2 linked regions of the Coturnix japonica genome follow. The protein of the gene in region 2 interacts with the protein of the main gene of each other region in a pairwise test. Links are inferred from orthologs where the notes say so. Each region holds a gene or a part of one and is shown on either strand. Other genes may lie near its edges.

Evidence for each region.
Region 1: the proteins of GAPDH (region 2) and PRDX1 interact in a two-hybrid assay, tested with the Homo sapiens proteins (2 studies listed by BioGRID and IntAct, with this or other methods). The link is inferred for Coturnix japonica from reciprocal best matches to the Homo sapiens genes GAPDH and PRDX1.

The regions. Positions count from the first base shown.
Region 1 is NC_029523.1:18,747,602-18,754,615, forward strand, and holds the end of PRDX1 (peroxiredoxin-1), read right to left. Parts: intron 6,085-7,014; 5' UTR 6,074-6,084; coding exon 5,968-6,073; intron 5,491-5,967; coding exon 5,337-5,490; intron 5,060-5,336; coding exon 4,937-5,059; intron 4,181-4,936; coding exon 4,050-4,180; intron 2,923-4,049; coding exon 2,837-2,922; 3' UTR 2,533-2,836; downstream 1-2,532. UniProt on the Homo sapiens protein: Thiol-specific peroxidase that catalyzes the reduction of hydrogen peroxide and organic hydroperoxides to water and alcohols, respectively.
Region 2 is NC_029516.1:69,302,264-69,309,794, reverse strand, and holds GAPDH (glyceraldehyde-3-phosphate dehydrogenase), read right to left. Parts: upstream 4,484-7,531; 5' UTR 4,360-4,483; intron 3,988-4,359; 5' UTR 3,970-3,987; coding exon 3,947-3,969; intron 3,333-3,946; coding exon 3,233-3,332; intron 3,020-3,232; coding exon 2,913-3,019; intron 2,829-2,912; coding exon 2,738-2,828; intron 2,631-2,737; coding exon 2,515-2,630; intron 2,414-2,514; coding exon 2,332-2,413; intron 2,163-2,331; coding exon 2,011-2,162; intron 1,898-2,010; coding exon 1,819-1,897; intron 1,608-1,818; coding exon 1,524-1,607; intron 1,380-1,523; coding exon 1,282-1,379; intron 934-1,281; coding exon 864-933; 3' UTR 627-863; downstream 1-626. Other genes in the region: C-type natriuretic peptide 2-like, read right to left, coding at 5,999-6,259, 6,536-6,553. UniProt on the Homo sapiens protein: Has both glyceraldehyde-3-phosphate dehydrogenase and nitrosylase activities, thereby playing a role in glycolysis and nuclear functions, respectively.

The sequences.
Region 1 (7,014 bases), on a different chromosome or scaffold from region 2:
TAACGATGAAGTCCAAGATAAAGAAAAAGATGCGATTTTTATTAAGATTAATCCTGTGACAATGTGATTAAATGCAAAGCACTGTCTAATCTGGTGACAAGCAGACACGGTGATCATTCCTCTGAAACAGGAAAACACTTCAGGGCCTGTTTTTTCCCCTACCAGTTAAAGCAATTACTCTTATCTCAGTGTAAGAATAAGCACTCTGGATTGACTCACTAAGCACTGTGTTGCACAGCTACTTTCTGATGCTGCTGTCTAAACTACAGGCAGCAACTGGTCAGCCCCAACATGGCTATTGGTGCACCAACTGAACTATTGGTTCAGTTCCAAGCAAAACATGCATATAAAGAGTTAACTCTGCTCGCAGGTGCAGTGGTTCAAAGCTGTTCTTGAAGAGGAAGTGGGTGTTGCTATTTACTGCAGCACGGAGCCAGCTGTAACTCCTCAACCTGTGCTGACAGAAGAATATCATGTAGATATATACAGCCAGCGAGTATCTTACAAAGAAACATCATGAACTCAAGAGTCACGTTCAGGAGAGCAATTGCAGAGATTTAAGTTTCAGCTCAAGGAGCCAAGTTTCACATTGAAGTCCAAAGCCATCATCGCTAGGTGTGGTGGGATGAACTTACCTCAGCCCATGGCTCCTGTAGGAGCTGCCAGCAATGCAGCGCTTCCACCCAGCTCTATAGCTGCCCTGTGTGCTGCAAGGGCGCGTCCATTACAGCACATACTGAGCAGAGCTGTCTGCCCACCCCACCCTACAGCTTCACATAGCCCCTTATTGTTCCCTTTGCAAAGCTGAATCACGAAGTTTCTCTTGTAAGCCCTCTATAGCTCAATATGTCCAAGTCACTCAGAACTTATGCAGGCTGTCACTACTGAACATCAGTGTAACAACTTTCAGAGTACATTTTTCAAACTATGAATAAAATCCATGCTTTATGCAACCACCCTTTTGATGTAGAGTGCAATTGCTGAGGTCTGCACATATTCTTTTACAACCAAAGTGCACCGTTTCACAATATCTGTGGCACATAACCTACCTGCTTATGTTCTTAGACCTGTATTGATCTGTTGGACGAGGCGATGTACTCCAATTGTATCAACGCACTGCATTCATTCCCATGTTTAACCGGTTATTTGGCACAAACACAGTGCAGTACAAGCACAACAAGCTGCAGCCGTTAGCAGAGCGAAGGCAGCAGGGTTTTTATCGGGCCTTCCCACACACACCCGGCTGTGGGGAAATGGCGCCTCCCGGCAGGGCGGGAACAACAACACCGCCTCAGGGAGGGGGGCGGCCCCGGAGCGCTCCGGGCTGCAGGGGAAGTGATTTTAGTTAAGTGAAGGGAAAACAAAACGCATTCCAATAGACTGAAACACACAGAGCCCTCCCGAGGACTGCTGTTACCAATCCCCTCCTACTTCAAAGTGAGCAGAGCCCAGTGCAATTGAAGGCTGACACCAGACTAGCTCTGACCTCCCCCATTGCCCTTTTAACAGGGGAAAACTTCATATTCAGCACCTGACTCCTTTGAAGTAGCCCTGGGTCTTAACTTTGTTGCTGTTCACTTCAGCAAATAGAACTCATTTCTACATCTTAGTATTTGAGAGTTGTTTACATACCTGTAAAGATCTATCACAAGGCTCCAACTCGCTTGCACTGCAAAGCAGTAGCTCCTTTACACATGAAGCCACATGGCCAATACAGCTGTAATTAAGTTTAAGTTGATCAAGGCATACAACTATGGCCTTATGTGCATATTATAAAACTCATGCATAGTACAAAGATAAAAGGTGAGGCTGAGCCAATCCAGGTATCCTAGTTCATAGTGTCACCCTTTTGATCTTCTCCAGTACCTTGCAGTCATATGATCAATTGGCATGTTCTTACTCCTCCCAGGACTCCCAGCTCCATGTTGTGCATCCAAAGAAGCCACACCATATACAAAAAGAAAGTTATTTCCAGGAAGCCCAATATTCCACTCCTCTGGTGTCTTCAAACTGCATGTTTGGATTCCCAGAGCTTTGGCCTATGCAATCCATTTTGACCAAAATAAATTCATACTGTACACAAAGACATGCCTGGTCTCTGTCAGCCACAACTGGGCTTCACACTCTGCTCTGCAGTACTTCTTAACCCTGACAGATCCAGGTCAAAATGCATTCCACTACATTCCATTTTTTTCTTCTGCTAAGAACTTTACAATACAAACACAGAAGTGAGTGTTGGGATCTCATTCTAATGGAGCTGCAGAAGGCCTCTGGGAATTTGGCTGCCTACAAGCAGTTCAACAGACAGACTGAGCAGCAAGACCATGATTTTTCACTGCTATCTAGAAGTTGTCTTACTGAAACAGAGGATTTCACCATAACCCACATATGCTATGAAGGAGTACAGTTCGCTCTACAGAGATCACTTGTGTATTCTCTAGTGAATTCACTTTGTCAGTACTTGTCAGTGAAGCAGAAGCACAGCCTGCATAGCTCACCAAGCTCTTGACTACACAAGACCAGGACACAGTGTGCTCTTTCCACAAGTTTAATAGTTACAAAAGGATACCATTATTCTATATGCAACGCATGGCTAACCACATATACTGCATCATCACTAAAGTCAACAGGCCACGATGTACAGATATTGATCATTAAGGTTTTCTATAAAGTTACTGTCAACAGGACTAACTTTCCTTCAAGTAAAAAAAAAAAAAAGTTACTGCTTATACCTCTAGCATGATCCCTTGACTCAAATGCAATGAATTAGTCAAAGTTCAGTAACTGGTACTTGCTCTTTATGTAAGGCATACTAGTTTCCACTCAGAATGAAAGTTTACTTCTGCTTGGAGAAATACTCTTTGCTCTTCTGAACATCAGGCTTGATTGTATCACTGCCGGGCTTCCAGCCAGCGGGGCACACTGAAACAATAAGAACATGTAAGCCTTCCTAGCCACTCCCACTCCGTTTTATACAGACACTAAAGCATGTTAGTAACAACTCATAGCTATTAAAATTCTTGCAACATACATAAATCAATTCAGTATTATCTTCAGCTCTCAGCTTCTGATTGTTGCTATATACCTTAGCCTAGCCTAGACTTCAGCCTTGCTCTGGAAGAAGAGCTTCTGCCAGGTTTTGACTACTCCAGGGCACAGCAAACTTCAAAGGGCTTCATGTGACAAAGGCAACATGTGACTGCCCCCATCAACATATATTAAGGATGCCTCCTCAGTTGAAATAGAAAATGGCATCTAAGTTAAGAAACATTTACGCTCTTTGGGCTACAGCACAAAAACCAATAGCAACTGGTTTTAATAAAGTGCAACACAGATCTACCAGCTCTGAAGCACATTATGCATGAGCAATAGCAACACCTGCAATTAACTAATAACAGCTAAATACTACTAACACCTTTATGTTAATTCTAGCTTTACATAAACCACATCAAAGCTTTCATATGCAGTGTGCTTTTTTATTCTAGGAAAAGCATCCAGCCTCGAGCACCTTTCTATCACTCTTGTACTACAGGCACAAGAACTCTTGCCATTTTCCTCTTCACTTGGCCTCAGTACTCATGGACACAAACCAGCAGGCTTTCAGAAAACTTAAATGCTCCAACAGACTGCTTAGTATATGTATCATCAGTACCAAATGTGTCCAGCCTATCAAGTCTGAGAGCCAAGTCTAAGTTATGTTTGCCTCTGCAGGCAAAACTAAGACGTTCCTCAACACTGGAACATTTTCTAATTGAAGAAGGGTATTGAAGAGTGTTGTCCAACTGAAGATGGACCTACTGCTACGTACTTGCCAAGATGCCCAGCACGTGGTTTAAGTGATTTCAACATCAAGCAAATACTTGATGGACCATTAACTGGAATAAGGTTGTATGGTGTTGTGGTGCACTTCAATAAACATCTTTACAGAAACAGCTTCGTTACAACCAGCACAATTCTATACATAATTAGTAACTTTCAGCAAACCTATCTAACCTGCTTAGTTAATACTATTCTCTAGAGACCCATTTAGAATCAGAGTGATCCCTTACCTTCTCCATGTTTATCTGTAAACTGGAAGGCTTGCACAAGCCTCAGGGTCTCATCAACAGAACGGCCAACAGGAAGATCATTAATTGTTATCTGCCTCAAGATCCCCTTCTCATCAATTATGAACAGGCCCCTACAAAGACAGATCTGAAGTTAAACACAAATTTGGACAGATTTGCCTGAAACAATATTCAATCATAAAACTTAATGGCATGGTATAGTATTATCGACCTCTTCCTTTCCCAAAAGCAGAGCCCTGTTCCTACACTAATACAACATCATAATAAAACAATCATACATTCAACAGGAGCTAAGAGAGACAGGAGATAAATATGAAATGAAGTGTTACTTTCCTGTGTTTATTTTGCTTTAAGGAAAACAAAAGAAATGAGGAAAAAAAGGAAAAAACAACTATGCAGTTCTTAGAAATACAGCTATGGCCAATTGCCCATCAGTTAGTTCTCTATAATCACATGAAGAGTTAGCACAAGTTCAGCTCCTTCAGCAACTTCAACTGTTCAGCTGACTAAAAGATAAGGCACAGCTTTTAATTCCTCTGTACTTTAGTCACTAAATACCTCTAATCACTTTCAGGACTATGCAGATCTTGTATTAGCCATGTTTGCATAAGCTCACCTGCATCATGTAGATAGGTAACGCTCTAAGTAATGCTGTTATCAAAGGAAAGCAGCAGACATTTATCTAGCTTACCAAAACCCTAAGTCTAAACAAGTAACGTCTCTCCTTGCACAAGTGTGATAGCTTAAAGCAGCTTACATCTTGAATAGCTGAGAACTTCAGTTCACTGCAGATGTTCAAGTATATGCAAGTTCTGCATTAAAGTTGCATGATGCAATAACATTAACAGGCTTACCCTATTGCTCATTACCTGTATGCAATACCTTCATCCTCCTTAAGTACTCCATAGTCTCTGGCAATGTCACGCCTTGTGTCAGAAACCAGTGGGATTTTCATAGTGCCCAAACCACCTTGTTTCTTAGGAGTGTTGATCCTAAGAGCAGAAGTGTTAAGAAAGAAGGTCAGTTCATAATGTACAACAGAGGCTCATCCAAAGCGCACTTCAGATGCACAAAGCATGCCAGGAAGTAACAAAGGAACTGCCCGGTACTCCCAATTCTGTTCAGAAGCATCTGGAATGACAGTACTTCCTACAGGACTTTATTTGACACACAAGTAAATTAAGTTTAAGTCTGAATACTCAGAATCCAGTTCCTGTAAGAACTGAGGCCAGGCACAGTAATGTCTAATGTTAAAAGGCTGATTCTTACCAGGCAAGGTGACAGAAGTGAGAATCAACAGAAGCTCCAATTATTTCACAGTTAATTTTCCTGAATTCATCAGCTCTGTCGCTGTATGCGATGATTTCAGTTGGACAAACAAAAGTGAAATCCAGAGGGTAGAAGAAGAACACAACGTATTTCCCTAGAAGAGCAATGTCACCAGTTAATCTCTTACATTAGGTTCTACAGCAGTACCAAGCCTGCAAGGAGTGACACAATAGTTTTCTAGTACTTCAGCAGAAAGAAGCTTCTTTAGTTAGAGGGAATTCTACTTTCCACCAACAAATAAACAAGATCTTGTAGTTTCACCTGTTTTGAAGCTGTTATATCAGACTCAAAATGCCTGAATCTAGGATAAAACTTAGTTGTTCTATTTTAGAGGAATTTCATGCTAATAACCAACAATCATCATAATTAGGACATTCAGTCATGCTGTCAACAGCTTCCCAAACACATTCCAGTTGGCAATGAACAAAATCACTGTAAATTAACTACAGTCAAGTGGTCACTGTTACTTGGAAACCAAACCAAAGGCTTCATTAGATGCTCCCCCTCCCCACCTCCCATCCCCTGCACAAGGGGAGACTGCATTTGCATAATTAGATGTACATAAGCCCACCTCTATAGTCAGAGAGCTTGATATCCTTGAATTGCCCATCTGGCATTACTGCTGTGGCAGTAAACTCAGGGGCTGGTTTTCCAATGAAAGCCTTTCCTGAAGACATCTTGATTTAATCTGGAAAAGAATTAACAGCGCAGTTTAGATAGCTGAATAGTTTGAATACATCTTACTTCCAGGTGCAAAGCATCATATCAGTTTAATTATCAATGGGGCAGTATATCAGCATTTGATCTGGCAGCAAGGCTTAAGAGCAAAACTCATTTTAAGCTTATCACCTGGGTAGTCAGGTATCCAGATGAAACTACTAAGCACATTCTTTAAGGCATGTTAGTTTCCTAAGGACACAGTTATCTTTGACCAGGAACAGCTCATTACAGGCTAGAAGCGAGCCAGCTGCCTAGAGTTTTAGCTGTATCCACACTAAGCCTTTGTTCCAATAGGTGGATGAGCTATTAAGTCTTTCTTCCTAAATTCTGATGATGAGACTCTTGTTCAAATTCACAAAGGAATGTAAGACCTCAAACCTTATTTCCAAGCAGAGTTTGATTAGTCTCTAAGAGACCAACACTCTCCATAACTACTCTTCAGCCTTGCAAACAAAGAAGCCTTGTTTTATTTACAAACAAAAGACTCGTGATTTTGATCTACAGTTCATATTAACAACTACAGGCTCACAAACTCTTAAACCAGTGCAGCCAGGCTGGTTCCCCTGAGCATTTCAGTCTATTGAAAAAGAGTAAGAGTGTGCATGAGGCCAAGAGAAGTTTACTTCTGGCCATCAATCCTAAGTCCAGTCCTTTGCAGACACGTTCTGTACAGCACTTTTGCTCAGTGTGCAGATGCAGCACTTCAGAATCCCAGTTCCCTGCAGAGCACTGCCTTTCAAATACAAAACTTCATGAACCTCATTCCCTCAGCTCAGTCTTTAAGTGATCTCACTGAAGCCATTTTACATGCTGCAAAAGAATTATCTGGCACGGAGACACAAGCCCCTGAGCTGTTAGTATTACTGAGTCTCATATTGCTACAGAAAGCTGAGTTTCA
Region 2 (7,531 bases):
CAGCCTCAGTGCTGATGAGAAAATAAAAGGAAGGGCCCCATGGCTTTGGTGGGAGTGAACTGCTTATCTACCCTACCACTCAGCAGCCAGGGTAGCTCCGTGCTTTTAGGGGGAGGTAATGCAGCTCCTGGCAGAGGGCTGATACTTGCAGAGATTTGCTGCTCAGGAGCTGCCACTGTGCTTAATTCTAGCTTCCAACACAGGGCCTGGGGCAGCCATTTCTTCCAGGCAGATTTATTTTCAGTTCACTTTGTTGCATCTCTAGTAAGGAAGAAGGAATTGAAAAACTCCTGGCTTTCATGCCCTTTTAACAAGTGAAAACGCAAGTCATCCTCAGCACTTTATTCTGCACACACCCATCAAACAGGAAAATCCAGAGAGCTGGAAGGTGGATGAAGAACATCTGCTCACCATTCCACCACACAGCACATCTTCCACTCAAAGCCCTCCACACCTTTTCGCTTAAGGGCAAGAGTCCTTCCCTTGCTGGCAGGCACAGCATAGCTCCATGCACAGCAGCCCTGCACTGGCTGGAGCTGCTGGCCCAGCAGTTACAGGCTGGCTGGGCTACCTTAAAGCATACATTCAATTCTTTTTTGCTTCCCAATGACACGCAAACAAAGCGCTTCAGATGGTGAACACTTTTATTGATGTAAGGTGGTACACATACAGATCAGTTTCTATCAGCCTCTCCCACCTCCCCCAGGCTGAGGAAGAATTTGGAGGAGGAGTGGGGGAGACAGAAGGGAACAGAACTGGCCTCTCACAGCAGGATGCAGAACTGAGTGGTGGTGAAGAGCGGGGGCTCCAACAAAGGGTCCTGCTTCCCTAGGCAGCAGGGGGGCTGTGTGCCTGTGCCTGGCTCACTCCTTGGATGCCATGTGGACCATCAAGTCCACAACACGGTTGCTGTATCCAAACTCGTTGTCATACCTGAGAAGGGAAACACAAGTGCAGTCAGCACTGATCCAGCTCCTCGTATCCCTCTTCATGTTACTGCTCTTCCAGCCTCAGCCCATATAACCAAGTGGCAAGGCTTCCCATCCAATCCTTATGAAGCAAACAGGCAGCATCCCATCTGCCCTCCATTACAGGAAGGCAGCTGCAGCCATTTCAGATACGAAGCCATCTCACTAGAGACCGTCACATGCTGAAGCCACCTGAACCCTGTGCTGCCATGCACTGCCAGATGGTGCTGACAAAATGAAACAGCACAGAACTGCACCAGAACTGCTCGTCTCTACCCTCCCAGTCTCCCCCACACCCCGAGGCTGAGCATACCAGGAAACAAGCTTGACGAAGTTGTCATTCAGTGCAATGCCAGCACCCGCATCAAAGGTGGAAGAATGGCTGTCACCATTGAAGTCACAGGAGACAACCTGGAACAGAGGAAGAACCGTCAAGCACTCTTCCACCCAATAAGATGGTAACAGCCTGAACCAGAAGCGTCAAAAACATCACCCCAGCAAGGCTGCCACCATCAGAACAATGAGGCAAGTGACACCTACGTAGCAACTATTTACCTGGTCCTCTGTGTATCCTAGGATGCCCTTCAAGGGCCCCTCAGCAGCAGCCTTCACTACCCTCTTGATGTCATCATATTTGGCCTAAAAAAAGGCAGAAGTAAAGATGGTCAGGTCAAATCTCATCTCTAAGTGTCAGCTACAGCCCAGACACTGGGAACTGCATAGCACTAGCCATGCACATTAGGTGCTATTTTCAGCAAAACCAAGATTTTTCTATTAAATAGATTGATGTTGAAGGAAGTAATTTTAGAGGCAGGCCTGAAGATTCTTCAGTCTTGTCCACAGCACTTACTGGTTTCTCCAGACGGCAGGTCAGGTCAACAACAGAGACATTGGGGGTTGGCACACGGAAAGCCATTCCAGTAAGCTTCCTGCAAGAGATATGTCAGCAAAGAACAGTGTAAGCATGTTCTACCACAAAAGTGTTTGAGCCAGCCACACACTGGCTCCTGCCCCCCATCAGACACAGAAAGAGGACGCTCACCCATTGAGCTCAGGGATGACCTTCCCCACAGCCTTAGCAGCCCCAGTGGATGCTGGGATGATGTTCTGGGCAGCACCTCTGCCATCCCTCCACAACTTCCCAGAGGGGCCGTCCACAGTCTTCTGTGTGGCTGTGATGGCGTGCACAGTGGTCTGTGGAAAGAAGGCCCAGAAGTAAGAAAGCAGTCACTTTCCCCAGAGAAAGCACCCCCAGCACTTCCTCCCAAGCCCAATGGAAGCACTGTGTGTGAATGCTTTTTTCCCCCACACATGGAGGACCTGGGGGCAGGGTATCTTACTGAGCATCAAGCTCCAGACCTACCATAAGACCCTCCACAATGCCAAAGTTGTCATGGATGACCTTGGCCAATGGTGCCAGACAGTTGGTGGTGCATGAAGCATTGCTGGGGGAGAAAGAAGGCACATCAGCCAAGTACAACACATGTATATACGTGCAACAAGACCCGAAGAAAATTCCAGGCCAGGGAGCATTCTTCTCCCTTACCTAACAATTTTCAGGGACTTATCATATTTCTCATGGTTGACACCCATCACGAACATGGGAGCATCAGCTGAGGGGGCTGAGATAATAACACGCTTAGCACCACCCTTCAGATGAGCCTGAAAAACAAAAAAGGAAAGATTAAATTACCCAGAACGGCCCAACAGTTGAGAAGGAATACAATCCTCAGAGCACCTTTTCCCATGGGCCACAGCAGCCTACATACCCCAGCCTTCTCCATGGTGGTGAAGACACCAGTGGACTCCACAACATACTCAGCACCAGCATCTCCCCACTTGATGTTGCTGGGGTCACGCCTGAGAGGGGACAAAACCATGGGAGTTACTCTGGAGGGCACTTACTTTCATTCTCTGGAGCAGCGAGAGAAGAAAGCTACTCACTCCTGGAAGATAGTGATGGCGTTCCCATTGATCACAAGTTTCCCGTTCTCAGCCTTGACAGTGCCCTTGAAGTGTCCGTGTGTAGAATCATATTTGAACATGTAAACCTAGCAGGGAGAGAAAAGAGAAGGGTCAGGCATCCTAGATGCAAAGCTCCCACTACAATACCAGCCATCTTGTCTAACTGCTGCTCTGTATTTTGCTCTGCCCAGCTTTGCATCACTACATCTCATTTCTCTCTTAACCTATGCCAGGTTTCCAAGGGGAGCCCCGCTGAAGGTGCACGCATCGCCCAGAGGGGGCACTGCAAGACAACTCACCATGTAGTTCAGATCGATGAAGGGATCATTGATAGCAACCACTTGGACTTTGCCAGAAAGGACAGCAGCCCTGGTGACCAGGCGGCCAATACGGCCAAATCTGGGGAGAAACAGAGAGGTGGGTGAGGAGGAGCACTGAGGAACATGCTTGGTAAGGCACGGCTGAGCCTATCTGCTACTTCCCCCCAGAGCATCTGTCAGTCGCTGCCTGAATGGAATCCAACAGCAGCGGCCAAAGGCCGAGGAGCCGTGGTTAAAGATTAAGAGCGACCCCCGGGCAGGGCACCCACACCACAAAGGTCAGGCGCTAAATTTACTGAGGGCCCCGGGGATCCGGTTACTCCTCGGTGCGGTGGGAGAAGGTCACGTTCCCGGGGCACGGCCGACACACGATCCACCGGGCGACCTTTCCTCGGGTACCCACTGCCCCGGGGAGCCCCATTAGTGCGGGCAGAGCCCCCGACGGGGCACGCGGGCAGCACCGGCGCTTCCGGGGTGACTCACCCCGACCGTGCGGGGAAGTGACTCAGCACCGCCCCACGGGGCCGTTACTCCCGGTTGGGGGTTGGAGGATGGGGGGGTCTCTCCGCGGCGCCGCGGGGCCCCCCGCCCTTCAGGCGACCTTGTCTCGTGTCGTCCTCCCCCCCCCCACGGGCACGTACATCCCCGCCCGCCCCGCCCGGCGCCTCCCGTCCCGGCTCCGCACTCACTCACCCGTTGACTCCGACTTTCACCATCTCTCCCTTATAGTGTACCTGCGGGGACACGCCAACGCTCAGACGTGCGGTACCGCACGCAGCCCGCCCGCCCCATAACACCCCCCCACCGCACGCACCGGGAGCCGCCCCCCCACCCGCCATCCCTCCCTCCCTCCATCCCCACCGAGCTGTGCCCCCCGCACCTCTCCCCCCACCCCCACCGCCTCCATCTTACGCCGCCCGCCCCCGCCTTTGTGCCCCGGGCACCACGCGGTCCTGCACAGCCCCCTCCCCCCGCCGCACTCCTCGCGGTCCGACGGCCCCGACCCTACGAGGGGCTCAAGCAGACGGGAGGGCGGCCGGCTGGGTGGGTGGGTGGGTAGGGGTGGGGGGAGCCGTTCCTCCGCCCCCGTGCCCCCCGCCCGTTACCTGCTCCTAGTCAACGGCCCCGGCGCGCAGTGAGAAGGTGGCGCAGTGCCGCTCCGCCGCCCTTTATAGACACGGCGGCAGCACCCCGCGCCCCGCCCCGCCGGGCCGGCACCGAATGGCAGCGCGAGGGCCGGGCCGGGGCTACGTGCACGCACGGTGCGGGTGAAGCGGCAGCCCCCCCCCCGCTTCTCTCCCCCTCCCCCCTCGCAACAAAGGGCGGCCGTTGGGTCGAGGGTGGGCTCGGGGGGTTGGGGCCGCACTGCGGGGCTTGTACGGAGTGGGGGTGCCCTTCGGATGGGGGGTGCAGACAAAGCCCCGCGTCGGTGTCCTCGGGTGAGGCTGCGGGGTGCGGCTGCAGCACGATGCGGTGCGGCGGGTGCGGGCTGCATTAATGGCAGCACGCACGGCCGAGAGAGCGCCGTGCTGCGAGCCCGCAGCCTGCCCGCTGCCATAATCAGCCCTCGCACGTGTTGGTCACGCAGCCCCGGGCTGCCGGGGTCCCGCACCCGCTGTCACACCGGCGCTCTCAGGCCGCGCTAATAAGGAACTGCAGCATCTCTTGCGCCGTGACAGCGGATATCCTCATATCCTCCCGCCGCCTCGAGCCGCCGCCGTCCCTCTCCCAGCCCGGCACGTCTGCGCCTGGCAGCCGGGCCCGGGGTGTGGGCAAGAAGCGGTTCTTACGTGTTACGGCTGGGGCTCGTGCGGCCCAAAGAGGGGCCGTGGGATGGAGCCGTGCTGGGTTTATAGCCTCCATCCCCTGCGATGGAGCGGGTGCTCGAAGCCGGATGCCCGGCGGGAGGAGGGGGCGTGCAGGGGTGAGGTGGGCCCCGGCTCCAGCGGTGGGGACGGAGGATGCCGGGGGGAGAGGGTCCGAGCGGGGGGTCACGCAGCTCCCGTAACCCAACGCTCCTTGTACGGCTGCCATTCCCGGAGCACCGAGGGGCAGCGGCTAAGTTTAGCCCCGGCTTGAGGTTACGACCTTTTCTTAAAGGCCAGGGGAGGCGGCGGTGCGGCCCGAAGGGGGCTGCGATCGCGGGGCCGGGGGAGCCCCCCGCACGTCGCGGGGTCAGGGCCGGCAGGGAGAGCGGAGGCCCCTTGTTTGCTCGGCAAACACGGCAGCGGCCGAGGGGCAGAGTGTGGCGGGACGGAACAACGCTGCGGCCCCGGGGCGCAGATCGATGGACCCGCCGCCCATCCTCCCCCCAGCGCCGGGCTCGGGCCCAGGCCGCGGACGCGCGTGCGGCCCGGCCCACCCGGAATGGCGGCGGCGCCCAAAATGGCCCCGCGCGTGGGGGCCGCGTTGCCGTGCGGAGCCGCGGGCTCTGCCGCCATCTCCCGGCGGACGCGGGCGGGGAGAGGCACGGGGAGGGTATCGCGGCCCGGCCGCCCTTCGGTGCCGCCAGCTCCGACACGAGGCTCCGCACAGCTCGGTTTAATTCGCGAGTCCCCCGCGCGCCGCCGCTCCTCGCCCTGCCCGCGGGGCTGCGGCCGCTGCTGCCCCAGCCTGTCCCGTCCCGAGCTGGGTCTCGTCCCGGGCCGGCTCTCCACACGGCCGCTCTCTGCCTGCCAACGAGCGAGCCGCTGCCCGCTGTGCCGGCCCCTCGCTGCTGCCCCCTTCACCTCCAGCTTCTCCGGGCTAACAGCCCAACCCGCTGAAGGCCCCGATGCGGTCCATTTTCAGCCCAAAACAGCCCCGGGGCGCGGCCTTCCAGGCCCAGTCTCCAGACAGAGCTCGCTTGCGATCGGCGAGGGCCTTGCGCCACAGCAGGGGCTGTGCGGCTCGGGCCCGAGGCAGGAGGAGCGGCTGCGGCTCGGAGCTGGAGCTGGAGCCCTCCTTCATGTCCTCATCAGCCGGCAGGGATTCGGAATCCGAGGGCAGCAGGCGGGAAAGGAGCACCTGAGAGAGGGATAAATGGAGATGGGCGAGGGTGTAATGTCTGTGCTCTTATATCCCGACCCACTGTCCCACTCTTCGTCCCTCAGGCTCGGGCAGGACGTGAAATGGTGCCTGTGAAAGCCCTCTGCCTGTGACCTTGCATCCACACCAAGGACACCGATGGCCCGCAGCTACTCTGCCTGAGGTGATTTTGCTGCCCAAAGAACAGGAAGGAGTGCTGTGGGCATTGCTGTCTCTATTCCTTGCCCTTCTGCTATTGAATAGTTCTCTCCATACCTGGAAAATAACAGTCATCGGCCCTTAGTCCTTTTGGTGCAGCTGAGTGCTGCTGTGTGCTCACGGTGTTTTGTCGTGTTTCTTTTTTTCACAGAGGAACTGTTAGCATAAAGCAGTCAACTATCAGAATGGGCCTAAGGAAGGCGGGCCCTTCATCTGCTGGGAAGTCTCCATAGTTTGTGTGCAGGCAGGCATGCTCTAATTTAATTACATGCCTCCATAGCCGCCAGCATCCTCCAGCGGCAGGGAGATGGGTCAGGAGGTGCCCTGGGGGCACAATGCTGCTGCCCATGGCGGCGGCCTGTGGTGGCTACTCCATGCCTGTGCATCACATGGATGCCTTTGTGCAATTTAGCTCCATCTTCTCCAGCAGTCAGTTAATGGAAGCAGACATGGGCATCTTCAGTGAAGAGTGAAAGTGTCTCCATGATGAGTCATAGCGGAATCAGTCCTGCGTTTCTAGTTCACATCCTAGCTCCTGCCTTGCAGCTTTCTTCTTGGACAGAGGAGCTGATATGAAGGCAGGGTGCCTCTGCACGCATTGAAGAGACCCACAGCCAGGAGCACTCAGAAGTCTGTTGCCTGGCCCCTACCTTGAAATGCTAGCACTCCTCAAGGAGCTGGCTTGTATAGACACAGCCTAGAGCTGAGGCTGTTGGACTGAAGGGGAGGGAGCAGCCCTTGGGAGCTGGGATGTTGGGTCACCTCACACCATGTTCAAACACGACCTCCCCAAACTGCCCCTGCCACTCCCAAAGCCTCCCGCAGCTCCATCCCATTCCCTCCTACCTGGAGCCTTTGTCCCGATGAGGACATCGCTTGTACGCTGGCAGAGAGCAGAACTAAGAGGAGGAAAAGCGAGCAGGGCCACGCTGGGAGCCCCAGCATCTTCTCTTTATTTGGGGGTTTATGGCAGGTGAGGCAAGATCTGTAGCCTCTGAGAGCCCTTCCCCTCTTTGCTTTTATAGTGTTGGTTGTGGTGGGCGCCTGCCCCCC